Linked DNA regions of Cricetulus griseus. The protein of the gene in region 1 interacts with the protein of each later gene in a pairwise test. Links are inferred from orthologs where the notes say so. Each region holds a gene or a part of one and is shown in the gene's direction. Other genes may lie near its edges. The genes, in order: Cep70, Taf1d, Zbtb16, Fam133a, Cwf19l2, Kat5 and Gpatch4.

Region 1 (3,952 bases):
ACACCACGTGGCTACAAGGTGCAAGCACAACTACGGTAGATCCCAGAAACTTGAGGTCTTCATTCAGGTTTATGGAAGGTGGATTTTCTCTTAAATATTTTGGATTTCTTAACCCTCTATTAGTGGAGAGGGACCCTAGTTTTACTTTTTCTTTGAGACAAGGCCTCATGTAGCTCCAGTGGCCTTGACTTTTGCTATGTATGTACTCCTGATCTCCTGCCTCTCCCTCCTAAATACTTGGATGACAAGCATGTGCCACCACGCCTGTCTCAGGCGGTGTTGAGGCTCAAACCCAAAGGCTTCGTGCATGCTAGGCATTCTACCAACTGAATTATATCCCCAGTTCCTGTTCCCCGCCAGGTTCAGAACCGGTCTTAATTACATCTCAGTGAGCACTTCTCCCTCTTAGCTATACATTAGAATCACTTGGAGGAATCTTACAGACTCTGGACACGTGGGCCCCCACTCTAGAGATTCTGATTTAATTAACCTGGAGGCCCGCAGATCAAGTTTTCAAAGCTTTTCAGCCGTTCAAACGGCTGTGCCCTCTCACGTAATCGTCCTTTGCTCTCCGTAGCTGCAAACGCTTTACTAAACACGCTTATCAGTGTCTAACAGGAGTCCACCTCACATTTTCAGTCGGGCATGTAAATAGACATTTAACAATGTTTGAGGAGAAGATGAAATGTCATCAAGAAACGCTGATGGTGGTCCATATATAATATATATAAATATATAATATATATATAAATATGTATATTTATATACACATTATATATAGTTTCTTAGCCAGGTCTGGAGAGCGTGCAGACAGTTCCCGGTAAAGCTCGCAGATCTGGCTTGGGAGGAGCTGTAGTGAGGGCAACCATCCAGTGATGGCGAGGCAGCCCGAGCCTCACTTTCACTTGCGACCGCACTGTGTATTTCTAGCTTCTCGCGGATCAAAGAGACTCCACGTTGGTGACAGAGCGTCTACCCGACCCGGCGTCCCGGGGGTGTCAGAGTGCCTACGAAGGACCTGCGCCCGCAAGTCTGTGTGGGTGGGAAGCCCCGCCTCCGTGGGCGGGGCCAATAATAGAGCGCGGCGCGGACCCCGCCTCCCTGGCGCTCCCGGATGGGTCTCCCGCCCCGCGGGGAGGCCATCGACTGCTTCGGCTCGATTGGTCAGCCTGGCCGCGCCAACGGTCGAGGGGGCGGGGCTCAGGCGGAGGGGCGGGCGCGCTGCAAGCTGCAGGCTGCTGCGGTTGAGGTGAGTGGCTCTTGGGGTCCCCGAGGGCGTCGCGGGGGTCCCTTCTCAAGAGCACGCCCGAAGGTGTCCTCTTTGGGGGTTCCCGAAGGTCTACACTGACCGACCAGGGCCTCCAGGGCGGAGTCGCCCCGGCTGCTAAGGTGCGAGCTGGGAACCGCGCGTGCGGGGGCGAGCGTGGACCACCCTACGCCTGACACTTTGTGCAGCTCGCTTCCCACTCAGCCCCCGAGCTCCGGCTCCTATTCGAGTGAATAAGGGGAGCGACCTGGTAGAGGAGGCAGGAAACTGGAGCTTAGAGTCGTACGTGGCACCGGCTGGGTTTGGGGTTTGTTGTAGGTCCTGGGGGCTGATTTTCCTCCAGCTCTCAGGTGACAGAGGTTTGGAGCGCAGTGCGAGATCTCGGGAGGAAGGGTAGAGGATTGATTCTTTCTCTCTCCTGTCAGACACATTGCAAATTCGGGGAAACTCCGCCTTTATGTAGAGTCCACGTTGATTATAATGTGAAAAATACCATAAAGCCCAATCAAGGTTCCCATTACTATGAACCAGAGAGAACAGAGGACAACCTCAAGTGTAGGTCCTTGCCTTCCTTCCACCTTGTTTGGGAGAAGGCCTTTTGTTTTTCTGCATCCTACTCGGACTAGCGAGGAGAGCTGCAGTATCCTCCTTCTATCTGCCCACGGGAGTGCTGGAATTACAGAATTCCCCGTTTCCGTGGATTCAGGGGATGTGTCTCAAGCTTTCTTGCCTATACCAACTGAGCTGTTTGTAACCGTACCTTTTAGCGCTGCAGACGTTGGTTTCAGCCTTCTGTGTTGCGTGGACTTTTTGTCTTAATTTTCCAATACACCTGCTCCCCCAGCTTCCCTTGGGAAAGGAATTTGATGAGAGTTTTTGCTGCTTTCTGTGTTGGTTGATGAGGCAGGGTAGGAAGGCGTTTTATTGGCAGTTTTTTCTTCAGCCCAGGACAGGTCAATTCTGGCCTTTCTTGTCATCTGGGATGGAATGATGATGATCTGTAGGCCTAACTCCCCTTTTACTTGCAGAACAGTAACTCAATACTGGAGGGAAGGTTGATCACAGGTGCAGGCGAGTATCGTTCTGCCTGGTTTTACTTGAGTGTTCTCAATACACGTGCAAATAAAAATAACCACCCTTGAAGCCACAAATCAGAATGGTATATTTGGATATCCAGCACGTTTCAACAAAGCAATGGGAGGAAGGATAAGAGAAAAAGAAAAGGGGAGGCTCTTTGATGGAGAGCTTTGGACCATTCTTGTTGCTGCAGTTTTTTTTTTTTTTTTTCGTTTATTTTTGTCTTCGAGACAGAGTTTCTCTGTGTAGCTTTGGAGCCTATCCTGGCACTCGCTCTGGAGACCAGGCTGGCCTCGAACTCACAGAGACCCGCCTGCCTCTGCCTCCTGAGTGCTGGGATTAAAGGCATGCATCACCAACGGGCGGCATTGCTGCAGTTTTTTTTAGGCTTTGATTCCATGGTTATCTGCACCATAGATTCCTGCCTTGTTATAACTCAAGATCATTTTTAGTGAACAGGCTGAACATTTTAAGGCTTTGGCTTGTATCTTTTTGAAACCTAGATCAAGATCCAGTTTTGGACATGAGACTCATTGGGTGATCATTTTATTGAGATCAGATTGGATGACCAGGTGTAAACTGCAACAGGAATCACTATGACTGAGGTATGTATGATATAATGGATGATTCTATTTTTTTCCAATTTAGGGAGATAGCAAACAAAATTTACTGGATATTGTGTTAGATGATAGATACGTTTACATGTTTTTTTTTTCCTTTTGACTACCTGATAATTCTCAGTAAGTAAAGCTCAATAAGAAAGTGGAAGTCCAATGAGTTCAATAGATAGAGACTCTGTCATGCTGTGAGGCTAGCATACTCCATGCTCTTCGAGTATTTATTCTTCCAATCTTTGCAGGACTTTTGTGAGCTAAGTACTTTTCCTCCTCCTGCTCTTCTATGAAGAAATCAAAGCACAGAGGAATTAGTATCCCCTGGTTGTGTGGCAGAATCCCCAGGCAGTTTGGTTATATGCTAGTTTTCTTTTGGTTAGTATTGCATTAAACATTTTTTGCTGTTATGATTTGAAAAACCTGTCTCAAGTGGCTGGCTGGGAGCTTATATAGAAATCTTGGATAGGGAGAAGCAGTTCCTTGGTGTTGATAGCCTTGAGTTTGAGCCCTGGACTCTAAGTCTTGAGGCTAGAGGCTTAGGGCTCGACACTTTCAAAGCCTTAGAATGCCAACCCTGAGCAGCTACAGGTACAGCTCTTAAGCTATGACTCTTTAACCTGTGCTCTTGAACAATTCTCATATATAACCCTAGTTGTCCTGGAACTAACTATGTGGACCAGGAAGGCCTTAAACTCACAGAGATCCTCTTTTCTGCCTCCTAAGGGTTTGGATTAAAAGTGTGGCACTATGCCCAGTAAATATAGAGTGTAAGCATGAGGATTAAGAAGGAAAAAGGCACTCAGGAAAAAATAGGATATACCTAAGAACATAGGGGTGGTTTTGTCTAAGAGAGTGTGGCCCTACATGTAATTCCTTTAACTTCGGTATTTAAGAATGTCTTTGAAGTTCCGCTTCTCCTGCCTCCCCATCCCAAGTCCTTGGATTATAGGTGTGTACCACACTAGTTTTATGTAGATTTGGAGGATGAACGCAG
Region 2 (3,994 bases), about 79 Mb from region 1:
CTCACTCTGTAGACCAGATTGGCCTTGACTCATTGATATCTGCCTGCCTCTGCCTCCCAAGTGCTGGGATTAAAGGCCTAGAAGCTCATTAAGGTTTTTTTATTTTTTTATTTTTGGTTTTTTGAGACAGGGTTTCTCTGTGTAGCTTGTGCTGGCCTCCAACTCACAGAGATTCGCCTGCCTCTGCCTCCAGAGTGTTAGGATAAAGAGTGAGGTGAACCTTGGCAGGTTTCATGGCGGGCGAGGTTGACCGAGGCCAAGGGACAAACATTCCAGGCAGACAGCTTAAATGAAGTTTTATTAGGAAGAGGCAGGCCAGCATAATGCCTGATCCTTACACCCAGTGCTGGGATTAAGGGCATGAGTCACCACCGCCTGGCAGTACACAACATAAAGATGGTAAAACTTGTATTAATAATTCTAAATTTTCCTTACTTATGGGGAAAACATAGTCTAGGCTGGCCTGGCAATCCTCCTTCAGACTCTCCAGTTCTGCGATTTGCCACAGTTCTCAGCTATTTGTCACTTTCGTTTTGAACAGGACCCTGCAATTTAAGTTTGCACTGGTCCTGAATGTGACAGTCTGAGATGCCTGTCTTAGAGCTTACAGCGAATGCACTGGCTGCTTGCAAGTACAGCAAGACCTTACTTTTAAGGCGTGTCCAATCATAAATGATAACAACTGTTGACTAAGGGCAAGCAGATCTGCTGGCTTGCTTGTCATACAATACAAAGGTGCAGCATGGAAAATAACTCAAAGCAGCTCACTACTGAAAAGAAAGTACTGTAGGGCTAAAAACTGTTTAGCCCTACACTGTTGAGTCAACTCAGGATCTGAAGGAGGAAGCCCATGCCTGCTGGAAGCTAACTCCTGAAGGGTGGGGTGCCCAAAGCACCTGGCACCCTTCCTCTGAGGGGGAACTCCGCACACAGTGGGCTCGGCCCCACAACATGCGGACGCTCACCTGACCCGCAGTGTCTTCACGCCTGCAGGAATGCCTTCTTCCCTTCACCTACCCAAGTTCAACGTCCTGCTCCCTTCCGCCAGCTCAAAGCCTAGGGGCGAGCCCGGTACCGCCTCTCGCGGAGGCCCCGCCCACTCCACAGTCCACGCACATAGCCACGCCTAGCACGTAGCCGCGCTCTCGTACCCACCCGCCGCTAAGAGCTCACGCGAGATCTCGGCCTGCCCTAGTCGGCTGCTGCGAGCTGGAACGTTCTTTTGGTCGCGGTGGAGGAGGGAGACGGGTGTGTTTGCGTTGGGCGCTCGGGTCTGGCGCGATCGGTCGGTGCGGGACTCGGAGACCGCGCGCGGGCCCGGGCTCTTTGGGCGGCTGTCCGCGCGCAGTCGGCGCTGTTGTCGGGTGAGGCGCAGCGGGCCACGCGTGGCTCCCGGTCGCTATCGGTCGCTGCCGGAAGGTTTTAGAGTGTCCCGTCGGGGCATTGTGCTGGTGCTGCCTTCCTAGGTCGAGAAGACCGCACAGGTAGGACTGATTTCTAGATAGGTTCCTCGTGTGTACTTGGCCATTACCCTTAGAATTTTCTCCGCTCTATCGTTGGTGCAAACGGGCCAAGTATGTTACGTTGCAATTTTGATGGGCTAATACTAAAAAACAATGGGGAATGGAGAAATGGCTCTACAGCTAAGAGCACCAGCTGCTCTATCAGGGGACGTGGGTTCAATTCCTAGCAGCCACGTGGTAGTTCACAACCATTTGTAATGGGCTCTGGTTCCTATTTCTGGTATGGGTGAAACCAATGCACTATCCGTAAAATAAGTCCCCTTTTAAAGGAAAAAAGTTAATAACCCGGGAGGTGGTGGTGCATTTCTTTAATTACAGCACTCAGGAGGAAGGCGGATCTTGAGTTCGAGGCCCCGCCTGCCTCTACCTCCTGGGGTTAAAGGCGCGCACCACCACCTGGCCAGTTGCGGCCCCTTTAAAGCTGCCTTGTGGGTGCTGGGAATTTAATCTGTCCACTCAAGAGCAGTCAGTATTCTTAAAGCTAAGCCATCTCTTCAGCTGACTCACCCTAGAGGTTCTATTGTTGGGATTACAGGCCCATTGGCCATTCGGGAAATTGAGGCATACACACTGAGTGGCTAAAAATTCAGCCTTCCTAGGGTAAACATCCGAATTAATGCTGTTTCACTGTGTGGCTGGCTGGTAGTAAAGCCACTCAGGTACTTTTGTTAAGTAGAATTAGAAAACACTGATTTGGAAAGTGGTCTCTCCTTTGCTTTCACTTGTAGATTAGAATTGAATGTGTGGGTATCCAGGAAGCCAGAAACATGCCATGTTGAAGTTGTGAGCTACCCAATGTGAGTGCTGGGAACTGAACTGTGGAAGGTTACACTTTAACTGCTGTGCTCCTCACGTGGATATTTTTTTTTTTAAGACAAGGTTTTTCTATATTGAATTAGAGCCTGTCCTGAAACTAACCTGGAACTCACAGGTCTGCCTGCCTCTGCCTCCCAAATGGCTGGGATTAAAGGCGTGCACCACCAACAGCTGGCTCACTTGGATGTTTTTAAAGATCTAAAGTGGACTATCCTTAGGTCGATTTTACCTAAAGTCACATGGTGGTATGGTGTATGTTGAACTTTTCATTAGAATGCTAGGTGCATCACACTGAAATTGTAATTGCAGAGATCGAGTAATGGCTCAATCAGAAGTGACTTCTGTTGACTGCATGACACCTGATAGAGCTGCAGACATTGGACATCAAAGGTAAGGCAGCTTTTGTGACTAAACACCCTAGAGTTGAGTCTAACTGTTCAGATTGACAGGTCTCAGTAGGTGGCCTCATTCAAAGATGATCCTGCCTATTTCTCCCAAGAGCTGGAATTAAAGGCTTATCACCACACCCATTTGAAAATGTTGGGTATGATTTTGGGGGAGCTGGCTTTGGAAGAAATGTACACTTAAATTTTTAATGTCTTCTCTTATGTGACTTATGAGTGAGTGCTTTGCCTACAGTCAGTATCATGTGTTCAGAAGAGGGTGTTGAACTCCATGAAACTTGAGTTACTAATGACCATGCTGCCTGAGGGTACAGCCTTGCCACTCGTGAATTGGATTGTTTCTAGTAACGACTCAGTGATGCAGTTTATTTTATTTTATTTTTTTAGCGATGACTCATCTGATAGCTTATTTAAAACACAGTACGTTCTTTCACCTACACGAAAGCAAAGAAACCCTACGACAAAACGTGTCACTTTACCTGCAAATGTTGACACTGACACATCAAGTGACTCCTCTATAGAACCAAGGCTTTTGACTTTAAAGGCTATTTTTGAAAGATTTAAGAAAAAGAAACGGAAAAAAAGGAAATACAAGCCAAAATTAAGACCAAGAGGAAGACCACCTGGAATAAAAAATGCTAGAAACCCTAGAAGGTCACAGATAGGTGTGAAGCAAATTAAAAACAAAGGAGCTGTGTTTCCATTCTTAGAATCTGAAAATGGAAGAAAACCCTTACCTTGGAAGAAAATTTTAACATATGAGGTGAGTCATTCTCATGTAAGTGAATACACTAGGAAATTGGAATGATTGTTGCCCCCATCTTTTCTTCCTGGTTTTTCCAGACATAGTTTCTCTGGGTTTGGGTGTTGTTGGCCATTTTTAATTTGAGGTCCACCTGGGACACATTTTGTTACTTTGACAATAAACAATGTGTTCTGTGTAAAGTCTGCTCAGGTTCCAGTGTTTCTGAGTGCACTGTTTTTAGTGTGTATACAAACTTAGAGAATAATGGTCCAAGTCTGTAAATGTACAAAATACCCTCATCTTAGTCTCTAAACTACTCTCAAGCATATCTTACCCAACTTTAAATTAAGTAGCCCATCAAACCAGTCATTTCAAAGTAAGCAGATGTTATTTCGTTCTTTTTATTTTTTATGTCATTTACTTTTTTGGGGGGGTGTTTCGATACAGGGTTTTCTGTGTAGCTTTGGAGCCTATCCTGGCACTCCTTTGGAGACCAGGGTGGCCTC
Region 3 (4,203 bases), about 47 Mb from region 1:
GTTTTGTGCTGAAGAGTCAGTCCTTAAGACTCCTATTGAGGGTGGAGGAGAGCTCCATGAAGAGTGGCTGAGAAGCCTACCTCTCTCCACCCTCTCCCCAGGCCATTGGCTGTGTGAGATGTTGACCACAGTTAGGCAGAGGCTGTGAGATTTTTCTGTCCATGTCCCAGTAGCTGTTCAGAATTGGGAGCCACTGAGTGATCCAGAACACGCTCTGGGAGAGGCCTTTGTGTTCCAGCCCCATCTTCCCCACCTTCTGGATGTAACTCAACCAGAGATGCTGGTGCCAAAGTCACTTCTAGAGCCATGTCCCATGTCAGTTTTTCTCCTTGTCACTGGACTTGCCAACACCTGGGAGGCATCCAGTCTGGCATGAGCCCTCAAGGCTGTTGGGAACATACCCACCCTCCCATGGTGTCTCTCTGCTTTCTTGTTTTAGAGCATTCTGTCCATTGGGCACTTGTGGGCAGGAGGGAAGAGAGGAGGCTGTAACATCTTGTATAATTGTATACTGGCATGTTAATACTAGTTATGCTAGTACACACACACACACACACACACACACACACACACACACACACACACCTTGGGCATACACAGTAACTTTGAGGAACTTGTAGGTAGAAATGACAGGCTAGAATGTGAATTGTATGTATGTGCCCTTGTCACAGCCTAAGAATGGGTCTGCCAATCCTTTTCAGCCCTGACTACAGAGTGGGAGGACAGAGGCCATAGAAGGCACAGGATGATGGAGAGAGGGCATGGCTAGGAGAGGACAGCCCCATTGCTCGTAGATGTCAGGCTACCACCACATCTAGCAGCCACGGCAAGATTGTCTTGTCTCTTAAGGCCATCTCAGTGAAGCAGAACTAGAAAAACATTGAAGATGAGGGTTTACTTATAGCAGGTTGACAGTAAAGCTGGATGCTTAAGTTGACTTTAGAAGGGGTTAAAACTCGTTCATTTTAAGTATGTTTGTGAGCCTCATGCTGGACATTGGTCTTACATGGGCAGTCTCTATTCTCGGGCTTAAAGAATGCCTAGGACTCACTTGTATCTTCATCTCATTTCATCCAGCAGATGCTACCTACAGAGCAGTTGATTAAACATATGGGCAAGCATAACCTCCTTTTTACTCTCAGAACCCTGGGCTTGTTGTTGAGGCTGATTCATAGATTTCTTGGAAGCCCAAGCCCCTTCCATTAAAACCCTCAAGAGCCTCTTGCCAGAGTGGGGGCATACTGTGATGTTTGAATTCTTATTTTTAGGGGATGTTGTCACTTGGTCGGTTCTTTTAACTCTTCTCTTCTTCCTTTCTCTAGTCCCCTCCACTAGCCTGGGAAGCCTAGCCTGCTGCACCACGTAGAGCAAAGAAGGAAAGAGAGCCCCATGCCTGAGCCAAGGGGAGCATTATGGATCTGACAAAGATGGGTATGATCCAGCTGCAGAACCCTAGCCACCCTACGGGGCTGCTGTGCAAGGCCAATCAGATGCGACTGGCCGGGACTTTGTGCGATGTGGTCATCATGGTGGACAGCCAGGAGTTCCATGCCCACCGGACGGTGCTGGCCTGCACCAGCAAGATGTTTGAGATTCTCTTCCACCGAAACAGCCAGCACTATACTCTGGACTTCCTCTCCCCAAAGACCTTCCAGCAGATTCTGGAGTATGCCTACACGGCCACACTGCAAGCCAAGGCAGAGGACCTGGATGACCTGCTGTATGCAGCTGAGATCCTGGAAATTGAGTACCTGGAGGAGCAGTGCCTGAAGATCCTGGAAACCATCCAGGCATCTGATGACAACGACACAGAGGCCACCATGGCCGATGGTGGGGGCGAAGAAGAAGAGGACCGCAAGGCTCGATACCTCAAGAACATCTTCATCTCGAAGCATTCCAGCGAGGAGAGCGGGTATGCCAGCGTGGCTGGACAGAGCCTCCCTGGGCCCATGGTGGACCAGAGCCCTTCGGTCTCCACCTCTTTTGGTCTTTCAGCCATGAGTCCTACCAAGGCAGCAGTGGACAGTTTGATGACCATAGGGCAGTCTCTCCTGCAAGGAACTCTTCAGCCACCTGCAGGGCCTGAAGAGCCCACATTGGTCGGGGGTGGGCGGCACTCCGGGGTGGCTGAGGTGAAGACAGAGATGATGCAGGTAGATGAAGTCCCTGGCCAGGACAGCCCTGGGGCAGCTGAGTCCAGCATCTCAGGAGGGATGGGGGACAAGCTTGAAGAAAGGAGCAAAGAGGGGCCTGGTACTCCCACTAGAAGCAGCGTCATCACCAGTGCCAGAGAGCTTCATTATGGGCGAGAAGAGAGTGGTGAGCAGCTGTCACCTCCTGTTGAAGCTGGTCAGGGACCCCCTGGGCGACAGGAGCTCCTGGTACCCCCAGTGGAGAAGCATTTGGGCATATACTCAGTATTGCCCAACCACAAGGCCGATGCTGTGTTAAGCATGCCATCTTCAGTGACCTCTGGTCTCCATGTGCAACCTGCCCTGGCTGTCTCCATGGACTTCAGCACCTATGGGGGCCTGCTGCCTCAGGGCTTCATCCAGAGGGAGCTGTTCAGCAAGCTGGGTGAGCTGGCTGTAGGCATGAAGGCCGAGAGCCGTCCTCTGGGGGAGCAGTGCAGCGTGTGTGGGGTCGAGCTTCCGGACAACGAAGCCGTAGAGCAGCACAGGTAATCCCCTGCCCCAACCTTGCGACCATGCCCATCTTCCGGCTCTGATGGCAGTCCTTTGTGCCTGTCCCATCCTGAATCTGGGGACCTGACTCGTCTGTGCTCCTTGAAAAGCAAACAAAACAAAAACAAAAACAAACCATTCTTTCCCATATTAAGGTATAGGAGGTCACACAGTTATTTTCAGAGTTCAGTAAGAAGAAATGGTTCCTATCTAAAGCATGAGGGAACTCATGGGCCCAGCATCTCAGCCCTCCTGTCTGTTTTGCTTTTTGGGCTTCCATCTGGTTTTCTTGTGGTTTGATCTATGCTTTTGTTTTGCCCAGAGTGACTAACTGTTTAATAAAAGTGGCAAGAAAAAGGGCAGGAAGTGGGGGTTCAGGCTGAGGGTCTCCTGTGGCCAGGGATCAAGCTATGTTATCACGCTTGCTTTTCCTATCCCCACTGGTCAAAGATTGTTTAATGGCAGGCCATTGTCTTCAGCCCAGGACAGTAGTATGGGTTGTATGTTGTTTAAGTCCTAAGCATACCCTAAGTCCCAAACATCTGTCCTGGCAGACACAATGTGAGGTAGAGAAGGTTCTAGTTAATTTCAAGGAGAAGGAGAATATAAGAGTTTTGGTCTTACAGCCTGTATAATCTGTTCTTATCCCCCTCTCTGAATCACAAGGGCTAGTCTTCACTGCCTTTGGGCTTCTGCTTTAATCTCTGCAAAATAACCCCCCTTTGAGTTTTTGTGACATGCTTGGTTCAGGACCAGTGCTTTACCTGGAATTGAACATTTGTTACAATATTCTTAAGAGGTAGGTAGTGTTTTTGTTGTTGTTGTTTTGGTTTTCCCCAGACAGGGCTTCTCTGTGTAACAGTCTTGGCTGTCCTGTAACTCTTATCTGTAGACAGGGCTAGCCCTCTGCTTCCCAAGTGGTAGGATTAAAGGCATGAGCCACCATTGCCCCGCTGGCTGGTAGAGGATTTGGTTTTTTTGTTTGTTTGTTTTTACTAATACACAGGAGTCTTAGCGAGACAGAAAGATTCAAACTAAGACTTAACCTGTCATACATTGTGGTTCCTTGTAGCCATCCAGTGAAGAAGAGGACCCCTCCTGAAGAACAGGTGGGGGAACATTGACCAGTGCTCATCAGAGAGGGAGTCAGTAGTGGGTTTGTCTTTTCTGTTTGCCATAAACTATAAGCCCACCATTTACATCCCTCATCCCTGGCCCCCAAATCTGGTTTTCTGTTGTCATGGATGCTAACCTTTTGCACAACTTCTGGCTGGCTGTTTTGCTGATCTTGGGTGGATTTTCCACTTTTGCAAGCACTCTCCTCTTCTTCCATTCCTGTTGCTCATTTAGGGGACCTGAGGTGTGTGTGTATGGGGGAAACAGATATAATCATCTCTAGCCGCAGCTTGCTCCGAAGCTGCCTGATTGGCTGCTCTGAGCTGAACTCTATGGAAAGTGGCACTCAGCTAAAAGTAGCCATTTTTTTCCAGTGATACATAAAATAACAACTACGGATATG
Region 4 (3,500 bases), on another chromosome or scaffold:
AAGAAAGAAGATGACAGAAAACCTGATAGTATCTGGATATAAGAGAATGGAATATAGAACACAGTAAATCAAACACAGGAGGGCACCACCTTGTCACTGACATGTCATAAAGCTCATATTGTGATAGGTAGCTATTATAGGTGGAATTAACAGGTCAGAAGTGAAGATAGTGACTAACAGAAAAATCTATCATGTGTCTGATCATCTTTATCTTCTGCTTAAAATGTTGCACTTATTTCTTATCAAGTGTAAGACAAAGATTTTTAAAGTCAGATTTTTAAAAGGGTCCCCAAGCTTCTAACTGCCTATGAAGCTGCACCTCCCCCATACTAACATCTCTTTAGGCTATGCCATCAGTAACTGCATGACATGCTTTGTAATTGCAGTGTTTTCTAACATACTGTTTCCCATTCTTTTGTTTTGTTTTGTTTTGTTTTGTTTTGCTTTGTCGTTTTGAGACAGTTTCTCTGTGTAGCCTTGGAGCCTTTCCTTGATCTGTAGGCCAGGCTAGCCTCTAACTCACAGAGATCCACCTGCCTCTGTCTCCTAAGTGCTGGTATTAAAGGCATGTGCCACCACCGCCTGGCTTACTGTTTCCCCTCCTTGAAATGTCCTTCATTACTTCATTTCCAAGGTGAATTTGTTTATTCTCCAGATTTCTGTATAAAAATGACTAGCTCAGATTGATTATGATCCCAGCACTTGAGAGGCAGCAGCAGGCAGATTTCTGTGAATTTCAAACTAACCTGTTTAACATAGGGATTTCCAGGTCTCCAAGGACAACATAATACTGTAACAAAATAGATAAATAAATAAGACTACATTTGGGGATTTCCTTCTGAATGTTTCTTTTACATAGCCAATCCATGTATCAATTATTGTATTTATAAATGACCAAATATTTTGAGTATTTAGTATGAGCCAAATTATGTTATATATTAGGAACACCATGAAAAATAGTATAATTCAAACATGGCCTTTACCCCTCTTGGCCTTATGTTTAGAAGTCGACAAACATGCAGAAGCAAAATGACTATCAGTTTAATATGTCCTATAAATTAAGAAATAAGTTCTAACACGTTGAAAAAGAGGATGAAGGTTAGACAGGAGCAAGTTACTTCATTATAAGTTTGAGTTATATAAAATTGTTGGTGTTAAACATTGTGTCTTATCACATTAGGGACATTAAATAATGTATTCTACAGATTTTATTTCTGAGGAACTGATACTTGAACTTAAACCAGAAGAATTTTAATTATAATGCTCAAGTTTAGAAATTGTCATGTTTCATGAACCAAGAAAATTGTGAACAAGAGTTAGTAACCAAATTAAAATAAGAGTTAAATTCAAGGTATTTCAAATAATACATTTATAGTATTTTCCTTGCGTTTTGATAAATTGTTAAGCTTTTAAATTTTTTTCATGATCTCTCAGATTACTGTGGGCCTGTAATAGAAGACAGGAAGTAGAAATAGGGGAAATAATTTAAAGGTAGTCATGAAGGTTAAATAAAATGTGTTATGTGCATAGGGTTTGAAAATAAAGCAGCTTTGATTTAAGTTCTGTTTGTATTTTAATTTTATCTCTGTTTCTTCATACAAGTTATAGTCAGATTTTCTAAGTGTTAGTTTATCTGTGAAATGGGTATAATAATATGCTCAATTTCATAGGCTTAGGCTCAGGATTTAATGAGATAATCCATTGCAGTGATTAACAAAGTCTTTGGTTATAAATATTTAATAAATGATAGAGAGTGAAATCAAATGGGAAGTAATAGTGGCATGGACAAAGCCAATAACAATGTATTTGTGAAAAAGGAATAGAATGATAATTATTATAAAGGTTTAAACAGCCCAGTCTAGTAATGGTTTAGATATGAGAGATGAGAAAGAACGATTTTCCAAATATTACATCTGGGGTTCTGTCAAAAGAAATGGGGGTAGATTTTTCTGTACTTACCTAGGTTAAAGAATATCTATTTGCCTGGTAGATTTTAACTGTAAATTTTCCTGTCTTTACCATGTAAGGCAGGAATGAAAGAAAGGAAAATGATATGTAAGATTCTTAGTAAAATAAAATGGTTATTAAATACTACTGGTCTCTGGCAGACTCTTACATGAGATCAATAAAATACATTTAACTTTATAGCAATTCATAGTATATTGTGTGTACTAAGCAAAAAAGTAAATTGATGTATAGATTTTTCCTAAAATGCAACAGTTTTGAAATTTTCTATTAAGTATAACATTTTAATACTTAAGAGAATCTCATACAGTGTAATTTGATCATATTTACCCCTGCTTATCCCTTAGTTTCTTCCAGATCCAATCTTACATCTCCCACACCCAAATTTGAGTATTCTTTTTTTAAAATAATCTTCTGAATTTTTGTTTGTGCTACTCATGTACTCTCATGGGTATGGAGTCATTCACTAGACCATGGCCATCCTACCAGGAGCCACTCCCTTAAAGACCAGCTGTCTCTCCCTACAATCTGTCAACTGTTAATAGCTCCTCTGTTAGAGGTAGAGATTGGAGTCCTCCCATCTCTGTGCAAGAATGGTGACTTCTTAATGTTGTCCAGGAAACAACAGCTACTATGACTTCATGAGGGCAGCAGTCTTATCATGTTCAGAAAACACTGGTTTGCTCTGTTCCTGCTCTAACTTTCATTTATCCAATCTTCCCCCTCCTCTTCAGTGATGGTTATTAATGAAATTAAACTTATATATTATTGTGTTTTAAAGGTGTTCAATTATTTTTTGATCTGCTTCTTTCACAGAATGAAGACTCCTTGTTAAACTAGCAGTAACCTTGGTACTGGTAGTCTTCTCTGACAACCACCTGGCACCATGGGGAAACGTGATAACCGAGTAGCATATATGAATCCTATAGCAATGGCTAGATGGAGGGGTGCAAGTCAATCCGCAGGCCCAACTATACAAGATTATCTGAATCGACCAAGGCCCACCTGGGAAGAAGTAAAGAAACAATTAGAAAATAAAAAGAAAGGATCTAAGGCATTGGCTGAATTTGAAGAAAAAATGAATGAAAATTGGAAGAAAGAGCTTGAGAAAAGCAGAGAGAAAATATTAGGTGGAAATGTCAATTCATCCAAAAGAAAAGAGAGAAAGAAAAAGAAAAAGAAGAAATCTTGTCGGTACACATCCTCTTCATCAAGCTCTGATTCATCCAGCAGTTCTTCAGATTCTGAGGATGAGCGCAAGAAACAAGGAAAAAGGAGAAAGAAAAAGAAGAACCGTTCCCACAAGTCGTCAGATAGCTCCAGCTGTGAATCAGAATTGCCAAGCAAGGAGCTTCCTCCAAAGAAGAAAAAGGCAAAGGATGAAACAGATAAAGAAAAATATACCAAAAGCTACAGCAAGAAAAGAAAGAAAGCTTCTGAGGAAAAGCCATCCTCTTCAGAATCCTCATTTGAATCAGATTATGAAGAAGAGGTGCAGGCAAAAAAGAAAAGAAAATATGATGATCAAGAAAGAG
Region 5 (3,500 bases), about 90 Mb from region 1:
AATGTAATTTTCTTAGAGGGCCTTGGCTGAGTTGGTAAAAGTGTTTGCTGTGTAGGCATGAGGGTGTGAGTCTCAGTCACTAGCACCCAAGTAAAAAGCTGGTGTGGCTTTACACGCCAATAACCAAGCACTGTGCAGAAGCAGAGAGAGGAGGTTTTCTGGGGCTTGCTGGCTTCTGAGGCCACCCACGTTCAGTCAGAGACTCTTACAAGAGAATAAGGTGATAAGTGATAGATCAAGGTAACCAGCCTAGATGTTATTAGAGATCTTTGCAATTTTAGATCTAGGAGCTCCCCCCCCCCCCAAATTTGACACTTAGAGCAAATAGCAAAATCCTTTACATGCATGTTATTTCTCTGGTGCTACTGAGATAAATATATGTGTTCATTTGGATGTTGGTAGAAATTGAGCCTTGCCATGGTGCTTTCCTGTAGACAGTTTCTAATCTGCCTAGTCCTGCAGCTGGTTGGACACAAACACACTGAGACTTATATTAACTATAAACTGTTTGGCCATTGGCTCGGGCTTCTTATTGGTTAGGGCTCTCTTAATTATTAACCCATTTCTATTAATCTGTGTATCTCCATTGTGGTCTTGGCTTACCAGAGAATGCCCGGTGTCCTATCTTCCTGTAGCTACATGGCTTCTCTCTGAAGCCTTCTCTACCTTCCACTTCCCAGCATTCTCCTAGTCTGGTAGCCCTGCCTGTACTTCCTGCCTGGCTACTGGCCAATCAGCATTGATTCATCAACCAATCAGAGAAACCTATATTCATAGCATACAGGACATCCCCCTCATCTCCTTTCTGTCTAAATAAAAAGGAAGGTTTTAACTTTAACATAGTAAAATCATATATAACAAAACAGTTATCAAATAAGAACTATTGTTAACAATATTTAGTCCATTAACATTTGGCAAAATTAAAAAAAATATTCTACCATCTATCCTATCTTTGTGAGTCTAAACTTTAATATGTAACTTTTATCATAACTAATGAAAACAATAATCATAACTTTCAACTCCATCTAAGACCTCAGAAGGATAATATATAAACTCTAGAACTGATGGAGACATCTTGCTGCCTGGACAGTCACCCAAAGTTCCTCTGTAACGTTGGGGCGTCCCTCTTCACCCTATAGGCCCAGTGTCTGGTAGACTTTTCTGTGAAGCGGGAATCTTGAAGGACCATCCTGTCCTGTGGCAAGTTCAGCAGTCACTTTTCTTTACAACCTGCTTGTCCAGTTTGGACAGTATGTTTTCAAGCAGTCCAGACAAGAGCAGTTTCTTGTCCAAATGGGTATTCCTGCCATATTGAAGGCACACTCCATCCTCCTCTCTGATGTAATTGGTGTTGTGTCTCCTTGTCATGAAAAACCCTAATAAACCATTTTAAATGTCATAACCTATAGTTCTTTGAAAGGTTTGAAGAATATCTATCCATTGCATATATATCTCTGTATATGTAGAAAACTAACATGACTATATAGGTGACTATCTATAATCTGTATTTAATTATACATTACATTTTTAAAAGAGCTGTATAAACACAATACTTAACCCGGAGTAGAAATATACAGGTAACAAAATTGACCTTAAATTTGTATCAGTAAACCAAAATCCATACCAATGCAAAGTATTAATTTCTATATCACTTTCCTTCCTAGCTTTTCATTTTATTTTTTGATATAACTCATGAGAGGAAGAATGAATTTGGCTGTCTCTTTTGGGCTCAAGCTAAAGTAGGGTTTTCATGGTATTTCTTGAGATTTTCCAGTATTATTCTTGAAGGGGAAAAAGAATGAAAGAATCTCTTCTAATTAGCTGAATTATGTCCACTTAATTCAGTATTTTATATATAAGTATGCAAATTGTGAATGTCATGTATATGCTAAATGTTCTAGAGCTCTGAAGAGTGGGTTGAGGCTGTTCCCTTCCAGACACTTGGCAAAGAAAAGACCTGGAAAGTGAAAGACGAAAAGCCAGAAGAAGAATGTGACAGGCATGTTATGCAGGTGAGCACCCAGCTGATTCAGAGCAAATTGGCTTCTAAGAATGGATTGGTATTAAACTTATGACTATAACTTCTTCAGGAGGATTATACTTTAGCAGTAGTTTATGAATTGCTGAATGCTGGTATTCAGACTGGCCTTCTCCTGCTCTGGAAGCTCATCATCTGGAATCCCATCATCTGGATGCTCATCTGTGCTGTCACCCTTCAGAACTCTCTTTACTATGGTTGTTGGCATTTCCTTTTTAGTTGGGTTTACCTAATACAGAAGTCTGAACCTCTTGTATGCATCTAGTTCAGTTGCAACTTTTCTTTCTGTTCCCTTATGTCACAATTTGTTCATCAATGCTTACAGTTGAGTAGCAGATAAATTCATATGCATAAGAAAGAATAGAGTTTGCCCACTTAGCCACAGAAACAGGAAAAAAGGTGAACAGTAGCTAACATTTCATTGTGTGCACCAGACCCTATGTTGGCTACCTTTTATACTTATTTTGTTTACTCCAAACAAACTTGAAAGGTGAGTTCTTCACTCCACTTTTATAAGGCAGAGAATAAGGTGCAGCAAAAATGAGAAACTCGTTGAGTACCTAGCCACATAGTGTTTGCTCTTGGCTAGTGCCTGCAGTCTGCTATTAAGTAGGTCTTAAGTACAGATTGAAATGGCTTCATTCTTTTAAACAGCGGGATGAATGGATGACTGTTGATTTTATGTCTGTTAAAACTGTGTCCTCATCATCAATCAAAGCTGAAAAGGAGACTTTAAGGAAGACAGAGCAGGAAAAAGCCCAAGCACTAGAGCAGGTAAGAGAACAATTTCAGTGCTTTCATTTTTTAATTTGCCTTATTTGTAATATCATTTTTATTTGTAAAGTACATTTTTTAGTGGTGTATGATAACTGAGGAATGTGAAACAATTTTTTAAAAAGTTAATTTCTTATAGGGAAGCTGTTTAAATGTATACTAGGGGTTGAGAGATGTTTCAGCCGGTAAGAATATTGGCTGCTCTGTTAGAGTACTCAAATTGGGTTTTTAGTACCCACATGGCAGCTGTAACTCCAGTTCTAGAGATTTATTGGCCTTTTTAGGCCTCTGTGGGCACTGCACACATGTAGCACATAGACATACAGACAAATTACTTGTACACATAAAATAAAAATAAATACGGATTTTTTTTGAGAAGTGTATTAGATTTAGACTGGAAAGATGGGTCAGTAGTTAAGAGCATATACTGCTCTTCCATAGGACCCTTTAATTCCCAGAACCCACAGTGGGTAAATCGTTGCTGTCTCTAATCCCAATTTAAGGAGAGCCAGTACTTCTGGTTTGGGCAGGCACTTGTACACATGTTCACATATGCACACCCAGACACGGGCACATAAAATATATCTTTTAAAAGACATACTAGATGTGGTAATCTAGGTAAATGTAGTTAAGCAGTTATTGTCTGTTACATGATTGCCATTAATTACAGTTGAGCCATCAACTGAGC
Region 6 (2,763 bases), on another chromosome or scaffold:
TCTGGGTGTGCACTGTAACAGGTTCTGGATTATCACCAGGTGTTACCTGAGCCTTCCAGGCATTAATGTCCAAAGGCTGTTTAACCCACTGAAAGATGAACTTGTACCCGTTCCTTTGTCAGGCTAGTCTTTTAATGCCCAGGAGAACTTTGGCTCCTTCCTTCTCACATGGACTCTTTTTTTTTTTTTAAATTTTTCAAGACCGGGTTTCTCTGTGTGGCTTTGTAGAGTGCCACCAACACCTGGCTCACATGGGCTCTTAACTCTGCAATACATTCTGTTTTGTAGTGTTAGCCCATCCATCCCCATTCCATTCACTTAAGTATTCACTGACCTAGGAATCGGGGAAGAAGCGTTAACTTTTTTTGCTGGTGAAACACAGATGCTTTACTTGTTCAAAGTCATGAACTGTTTGGAATATTTTATTAGTTGAGTGGTTCCAAGTTGGGAATCATATTCTCTGGAAACTCAGCCTGGGAGAGCAGGTGAAAGAAAACTCAGAGGACAGATCACTAAGATAACACTTCTGTCCAGCATGACACAAGAAAAGCATTAGACAGATAAAAGGGCAGGGAGGCCATCAACAGATCAGAAACTCAGAACTGTCTTAGAGGGACTGTACACAAGTCGATCCAGGAGAGTTGGATCTCTTTTCTTTCTGGCTGCCTCTCTGGCCCATTTTGTCCAAAGGTGATTGAGCAAAGAGGGTGAGACTAGCCAACAGAGATGTAGCCAGGGACCATTTTGAAGACTGTGTAGCTGAGGGTAAGGAAGGGTTTCTCCAAACTAATAGGGACATCTCTGGGGCCCTATCTACAGGACTTAAAGGTCTCATGAACTGCCTGGCCGTGCCTAGTAGTCAACATAAATAAGAGAGAAAGGGCTATTACTTCGAGGTGAATTCTCTGGCTCTGAAGAAACACTTCTATACTTTTCTGTTACATCCTCAACCACCCTGCCCATCCTGGCACTAAGAACAGCTGATTCCCAGGATCACAGCTAGGGAATGACAAAGGGTTCCCTCACCATCCTCCCAATGTCCTCAGACACAGGCTAGGATGGCAAAGGAAAATCTAGCATTTCCATCTCATTAACTTTGACTAGCTGGCAAGTTCCCAGTCAAAGCTGCTTTTTTAGGTGTCTTCAGCTCCCCTAGCCACTTAGCAGGCAGGGAAGCTACTCATCCATTACCAAGAGAGACAGAAAACCAGGAAGCGTAACTTTGCAGTTTCTGCTCTTACTTATTGTTGTGTATACCTGTGATGCTTACTCAGACTCTTGTGCTCCACTGCTTTAGGCTATGAACTCTCTAAAGTAGAAGGGAAGACAGGGACACCTGAGAAGCCCCTGTCAGATCTTGGCCTCCTATCCTATCGAAGTTACTGGTCCCAGACCATCTTGGAGATCCTGATGGGACTGAAGTCAGAGAGCGGGGAGAGGCCACAGATTACCATCAAGTGAGCCAGAATGCCCACCTGGGGGTGTATGGTATGGCCTGTCTGTTCCTGGGGCTCCTGGGGACAGATGACTACTCTCAGAGAACCTAACTTTTGCCCTCCCACAGTGAGATCAGTGAAATCACTAGTATCAAGAAAGAAGATGTCATCTCCACACTGCAGTATCTCAATCTCATCAATTACTACAAGGTTAGGAGGCACACTGAGGGGTAGGTGAATGGGGTACAGATGACAGACCTGTGGGCTGACCACATGCTGGGTCTGTTTCTTCCCTAGGGCCAATATATCCTCACTCTGTCAGAGGACATCGTGGATGGGCATGAGCGGGCTATGCTCAAACGGCTCCTTCGAATTGACTCCAAGTGTCTGCACTTCACTCCCAAAGACTGGAGCAAGAGAGGAAAGTGGTGACCAGGCACTGCCCATTGCAACACAAAGAGAGCTGGCACAACTGGGGCTGACAGGCTATCCTACCCTTCCAAGAGGCACACCAAGGGAGACAGGGCTGAGGACAGCTCCAAAAGGAGAGGCCTAGGAGGGGCCAACTACTGGCCAGTACCAAGGCAAGCTCAGGGCTAAGCCAACTCCAAGGATAGATGGCTTATCATCGGCCCAGGTCTGCTCTGAACACAGGGACCAGAGGGATCCAGGCAGCTATATACATGGAGACGGGTGGGAGCACTCTGTACAGAGGACTGGTGATTATAAACATTTCTTTTGTAAAGGAGGAGCTGGAGGGTGGGGTGGGTGCTGGTTGCAAAATTCTGGCCCCTCTTGCCCCCAGCAATAAATTGTTTATATAGGCAGAGATATCAAAAGTTCTTGCCAGACTGGGTGTCCGTGCCATGCCGGCTTCAAGGGTGCTAAGGTGCCCACAGACTCACAGGTGTTGTGAAGAGCTCATTTATTGGGATAGAAACAGTGGCTTCAAAGTGAACTTATTGCTGGCTTACTGGTGTGAAGGGATCTGTGACTTTCATTTTCATGATGTGGCTCTCAGTCCTCAGGCACCTGTGCGTGAATCTGCAACAGGAGTCACTTCCACTATGTAACTTTCTAATAGGATTCAGTTGTGTGGGGACCCAGCTGCTTAGGGTGCTAGCCCCTTCTAAGGCCAGATGATAAAGTGAAGAGTGCCTCCCACCACTCTTTAATCTGGTCTTCCAGCGTCATGGTCCCCATCCACGGTGCTTACTGCCCTAAAAACCCCAAGTAACTAGGGACGATTCAAACCCGGTGGGAGGTCGGACGGAGTCTAGGAGGGAAAGGGCTCAAGTATGTACTCACCGCTGCAGCGAGGCTGGGC
Region 7 (3,500 bases), on another chromosome or scaffold:
GAGGTTCAGCTCTTTACTGCTCCCCTATTTCCCCTGGGTCCTGATCGATTGCCTTGTGTGATGAACTAGTTCCCAGGATATCCTAGCATACCCAGATCCCATGTCCAACCTCGCTGTGCTTAGACTAAGGCCCATGCCCCCCTCCAGAATTGAGGTATTAAGGTTCCATGGACCCTGCCATCCGCTGCGGGGCAGCACTGAACAGTAGAGGGAGAGCCATCATTTAGTTAAGAGCTGCTGGGGTGGAAGTGTTGGTGTCTAATTTAAAAAGATTTAGAAGACAGAAGAACCCTGAAGGTTGGTTACTTAATCCATCTTTATTTTACATGTGTGCCCCAAAGTGTAGAAAATGGATTACTGAAGAACCCACAGCTGGCTAGTAAAGACAGAAAGAATAGAACCCAGGCTTCCCAGCTTTTTCACTATAGCTATAGAAAGCCAGAAGTTAGCGAGCATAGACTCTGCTCGGCGCTTCCCAAGTTATCTAGCAACCCTTCCCAGTTTCTGCATCTGTTGGCATTTACTATTTTAGTTCAGGCAGTCTTTGCCTCTAAGATACTCTGCCTCTGGTCTCATTCTGCACCATAGTCAGCTGACTCTGTTCTACAAAACATCCATAGGGTTCTTTCCAAAACACAAATTGTATCATGATCCTTTTTGTTTGTTATTGTTTTTCAAGACAGATTCTCCCTGGTTGCCCTGGAACTCACTCTGTAGACCAAGCTGGCCTCAAACTCAGAGATCCGCCTGCCTCTGCCTCTGGAGTGCTGGGTTTAAAAGTGTGCAATACCACTGTCTGGCTCCTCCCTATTTAATGAGATTGACTTGCATGGCCCTTTATGCTTCTTGTCTTACTCCCACCTGTTCTCTCTGGGGCAGAAGCAGCTCTGTTTCTTCTTCTAGAAGCTGTGTTCTCCCACCTACCCTTTCTCTGCCTTTGCCATTTACCTGCTAACATTTCTTGACTTTCAGATTGAGATTATACATAGCACCTTCTAGAAACCACTGCCCAAACCCTGGCCTGAGTTATCTATGGGACAGGCAACGTTCATCCTAACTGCCCATGTAATTACATCTGGACTGGAAACTTGACCCATCGAATTCTGTGTGTGTGTGTGTGTGTACGTGTACGTGTACACGTGTGCACGCGCATGTATACGTGTTCACATATATGAGCACTTTTGTGTGCAGGTGCTCATACATGTGTATGCATATAGAGGCCAGAGGTTGACATTAGGTATCTTTTTTTGATCTCTACCTTATATACTGAACTAAGATCTCTTACTTGAATCCGCTTGCCAATCTGTATAGTTTAGCACCTAGCTAGCTTGCTCCAGGGACCCCAGGGATTACAGGTGGGTAGCCATGCCTGCCTGACATTTATGTGGGTGCTGGGGATCTGCACTAGGTCCTCATGCTTGCACATTAAGTGTTGTTACCAGGTGAGCTGTCTCCGCACCTGGACCCATTTCATTGCCATTCTACTCTATCCTGAGCTACATGGCCCATAATAGGTTCTGTTAATCTAGTTAAACAAAAATACCAGCAATAGGAGTGCTGTCTCTATTGTCAGTTACTGGCACCTACTCCACTGTGAAAACCTAAAAGTGAAGAACACTTTTCCCTGGTTGTTCTTCAGTCAGCCTGCTGTGAGCCAGAGAAGCCCTGGCTGCTGCACTTCCCAGTAACTGTCCAAATTGAAATATACAGGCTGCATGACTCTGAAGGGAACAGTGGTGAGGGCTGTCAGATTCACCGCTTCGGCCGTGAGTTCCTAGGGGCTTCTGAAAGGGTTGGTAATGGTGTTGGGCTGGCTTTATCCATCTCCATGATCCTTTTCCTCCAGACAGCCACACTGACCTCAGGTGAAGAGAAGCCTGACAGAGAGAGCGGCAGTGATGATGACAGCCATGAGCCCACGCCTCCAAAGATGTGAGACTTTATTTTGTGCTGAGGATGTGGGAGGAGATGCTTTGGGATCTTAAGAGAATGGATGAATAAACCTAATGCTCTTCAGGGATGGGGGCGGGGGTTGTAGAATTAATTAGATTGTGCTAATCTTTGTGTTCTTTTTTTTTTTTTTACTTATTTTTTTATTTGAATTAGAAACAAGATTGATTTACATGACAATCCCAGTTGCCTTCTCTAATCTTTGTATTCTTAGTCCTTCAAAAAGTGCCAGGTTTTGGACAAGAAATAGTGGAGATGTACATTTTTTAAGACAGAAAAAAAAAAAAAAAATCAAGTCTTCTCACCATCTGTTTGACTTGTCATCTACCCTTACAGTCTGACTGATGAAATGCTACTCAAAGCTTGTGAGGGGCGAACAGCACACAAGTAAGTTGTGGTTGCCTTCTGGGTCTCCCATCTTTCTGCCTATGCTTTAGAATAGCTTGCGTCGGGAGGGAGAGGGAGAAGGGACTTGAAATAAGCTTGTTCCCTAACTAGAACTAATAAAAAAAAAAAAAAAAAAAGCAAAAAAAAAAAAGAATAGCTTGCGTCACCTCTCAAATATTTTTCTTCCAGGCAAATAATTCCTGTTGTTGACACATTTGTGTTTGAAGTCAGGCAGCTTCCCTCCCTCTGTTCCCAACTTTCTATGTAATGTCCTTGCTGACTTGAACCCATCTCTTAGGGCTGCCCGGATTGGAATCACAATGAAGGCCAAGCTTGCTCGCCTGGAAGCCCAAGAGCAGGCCTTCCTGGCTCGGCTCAAAGGTTCAAAGGATGTAGGCACCTCTCAACCACACACTGACAAGGAGCCCTCCCACAAAAAGAAAAAGAAGAGGAAGCAGAAAGAGGAGGAAGAGACTGCAACAACCGAAAAGAATGTTAGTGAGGAGCTCCTAGAACACACTGACCCTCAGAGCTTCAAGAAAAGGGAGAAGAAGAAAAGGAGGCGGAAAGACCAGAGAGAGGAAATGGCTGTAGGAAGTGGGGAGGAAGAGGCTGAAGGAGCAAGTGGGCCTGGAGAACAGAGCACAGAGCAATCTGACCAGTCTTCTAGGAAAAGGAAGAAAAAGAGGAGGCGGCACCATGAAGAAGAGGGGAAGATGGAAGTCTGTGATGAAAGAGGCAGAGATATGACAGGCAGGCCAAAGGCAGTGGACAGTGGAGCAGACCCAGATCCATGGAGAAGCAGTAAGAAGTCTCAGCAGAGTGGGGATGACTTGGACACCCAAGATGAAGGGAAGAATGGCCTAACAAAAGCAGAGAGAAAGGTCAGAAGAGGCAAGAAGAAAAGACAGCAGTGTCTTGAAGAGGTAGTCTTGGATGTGAGCAATAAAGACGATGATGACAGGACTTGGGAAGTAGAGAATGAAGGTGAGAGAAGTCAGCCACATCCCAAGGAGAGAGCTGGCATCAACACTGACCAGAGAGCCAAAAAGAAGAAGCGGAAGAGGGACTGACGGTCTACAGTGTAGGTCTGCTGATGACTTTTCAGAGTGGTCTGGGTTTGGGCAAGGTTTCTTCACACCCCTCTGCAGAAGTTCAGGAGC

The links.
Region 2: the proteins of Cep70 (region 1) and Taf1d interact in binary tests that used the Homo sapiens proteins (3 or more experiments, as listed by UniProt). The link is inferred for Cricetulus griseus from reciprocal best matches to the Homo sapiens genes CEP70 and TAF1D.
Region 3: the proteins of Cep70 (region 1) and Zbtb16 interact in binary tests that used the Homo sapiens proteins (3 or more experiments, as listed by UniProt). The two-hybrid records come from large-scale screens. The link is inferred for Cricetulus griseus from reciprocal best matches to the Homo sapiens genes CEP70 and ZBTB16.
Region 4: the proteins of Cep70 (region 1) and Fam133a interact in binary tests that used the Homo sapiens proteins (3 or more experiments, as listed by UniProt). The two-hybrid records come from large-scale screens. The link is inferred for Cricetulus griseus from reciprocal best matches to the Homo sapiens genes CEP70 and FAM133A.
Region 5: the proteins of Cep70 (region 1) and Cwf19l2 interact in binary tests that used the Homo sapiens proteins (3 or more experiments, as listed by UniProt). The link is inferred for Cricetulus griseus from reciprocal best matches to the Homo sapiens genes CEP70 and CWF19L2.
Region 6: the proteins of Cep70 (region 1) and Kat5 interact in binary tests that used the Homo sapiens proteins (3 or more experiments, as listed by UniProt). The link is inferred for Cricetulus griseus from reciprocal best matches to the Homo sapiens genes CEP70 and KAT5.
Region 7: the proteins of Cep70 (region 1) and Gpatch4 interact in binary tests that used the Homo sapiens proteins (3 or more experiments, as listed by UniProt). The two-hybrid records come from large-scale screens. The link is inferred for Cricetulus griseus from reciprocal best matches to the Homo sapiens genes CEP70 and GPATCH4.

What each region holds. Positions count from the first base shown.
Region 1 is NC_048597.1:207,684,353-207,688,304, forward strand, and holds the start of Cep70 (centrosomal protein of 70 kDa), read left to right. Parts: upstream 1-1,152; 5' UTR 1,153-1,249; intron 1,250-2,847; 5' UTR 2,848-2,940; coding exon 2,941-2,949; intron 2,950-3,952.
Region 2 is NC_048597.1:128,814,837-128,818,830, forward strand, and holds the start of Taf1d (TATA box-binding protein-associated factor RNA polymerase I subunit D), read left to right. Parts: upstream 1-1,194; 5' UTR 1,195-1,484; intron 1,485-2,648; 5' UTR 2,649-2,658; coding exon 2,659-2,729; intron 2,730-3,130; coding exon 3,131-3,506; intron 3,507-3,994. UniProt on the Homo sapiens protein: Component of the transcription factor SL1/TIF-IB complex, which is involved in the assembly of the PIC (preinitiation complex) during RNA polymerase I-dependent transcription.
Region 3 is NC_048597.1:160,607,938-160,612,140, reverse strand, and holds the start of Zbtb16 (zinc finger and BTB domain-containing protein 16), read left to right. Parts: upstream 1-1,403; 5' UTR 1,404-1,412; coding exon 1,413-2,680; intron 2,681-4,203. UniProt on the Homo sapiens protein: Acts as a transcriptional repressor. Transcriptional repression may be mediated through recruitment of histone deacetylases to target promoters. May play a role in myeloid maturation and in the development and/or maintenance of other differentiated tissues.
Region 4 is NC_048604.1:52,732,083-52,735,582, reverse strand, and holds part of Fam133a (protein FAM133A), read left to right. Parts: intron 1-2,781; 5' UTR 2,782-2,851; coding exon 2,852-3,500.
Region 5 is NC_048597.1:118,084,324-118,087,823, forward strand, and holds part of Cwf19l2 (CWF19-like protein 2), read left to right. Parts: intron 1-1,901; coding exon 1,902-2,012; intron 2,013-2,692; coding exon 2,693-2,812; intron 2,813-3,500.
Region 6 is NC_048596.1:53,753,703-53,756,465, forward strand, and holds the end of Kat5 (histone acetyltransferase KAT5), read left to right. Parts: intron 1-1,297; coding exon 1,298-1,457; intron 1,458-1,564; coding exon 1,565-1,646; intron 1,647-1,733; coding exon 1,734-1,868; 3' UTR 1,869-2,263; downstream 2,264-2,763. Other genes in the region: Rnaseh2c (ribonuclease H2 subunit C), read right to left, coding at 2,745-2,763. UniProt on the Homo sapiens protein: Catalytic subunit of the NuA4 histone acetyltransferase complex, a multiprotein complex involved in transcriptional activation of select genes principally by acetylation of nucleosomal histones H2A and H4.
Region 7 is NW_023276806.1:66,417,203-66,420,702, reverse strand, and holds part of Gpatch4 (G patch domain-containing protein 4), read left to right. Parts: intron 1-1,549; exon of another isoform or gene 1,550-1,846; coding exon 1,847-1,932; intron 1,933-2,226; exon of another isoform or gene 2,227-2,286; coding exon 2,287-2,337; exon of another isoform or gene 2,338-2,635; coding exon 2,636-3,410; 3' UTR 3,411-3,500.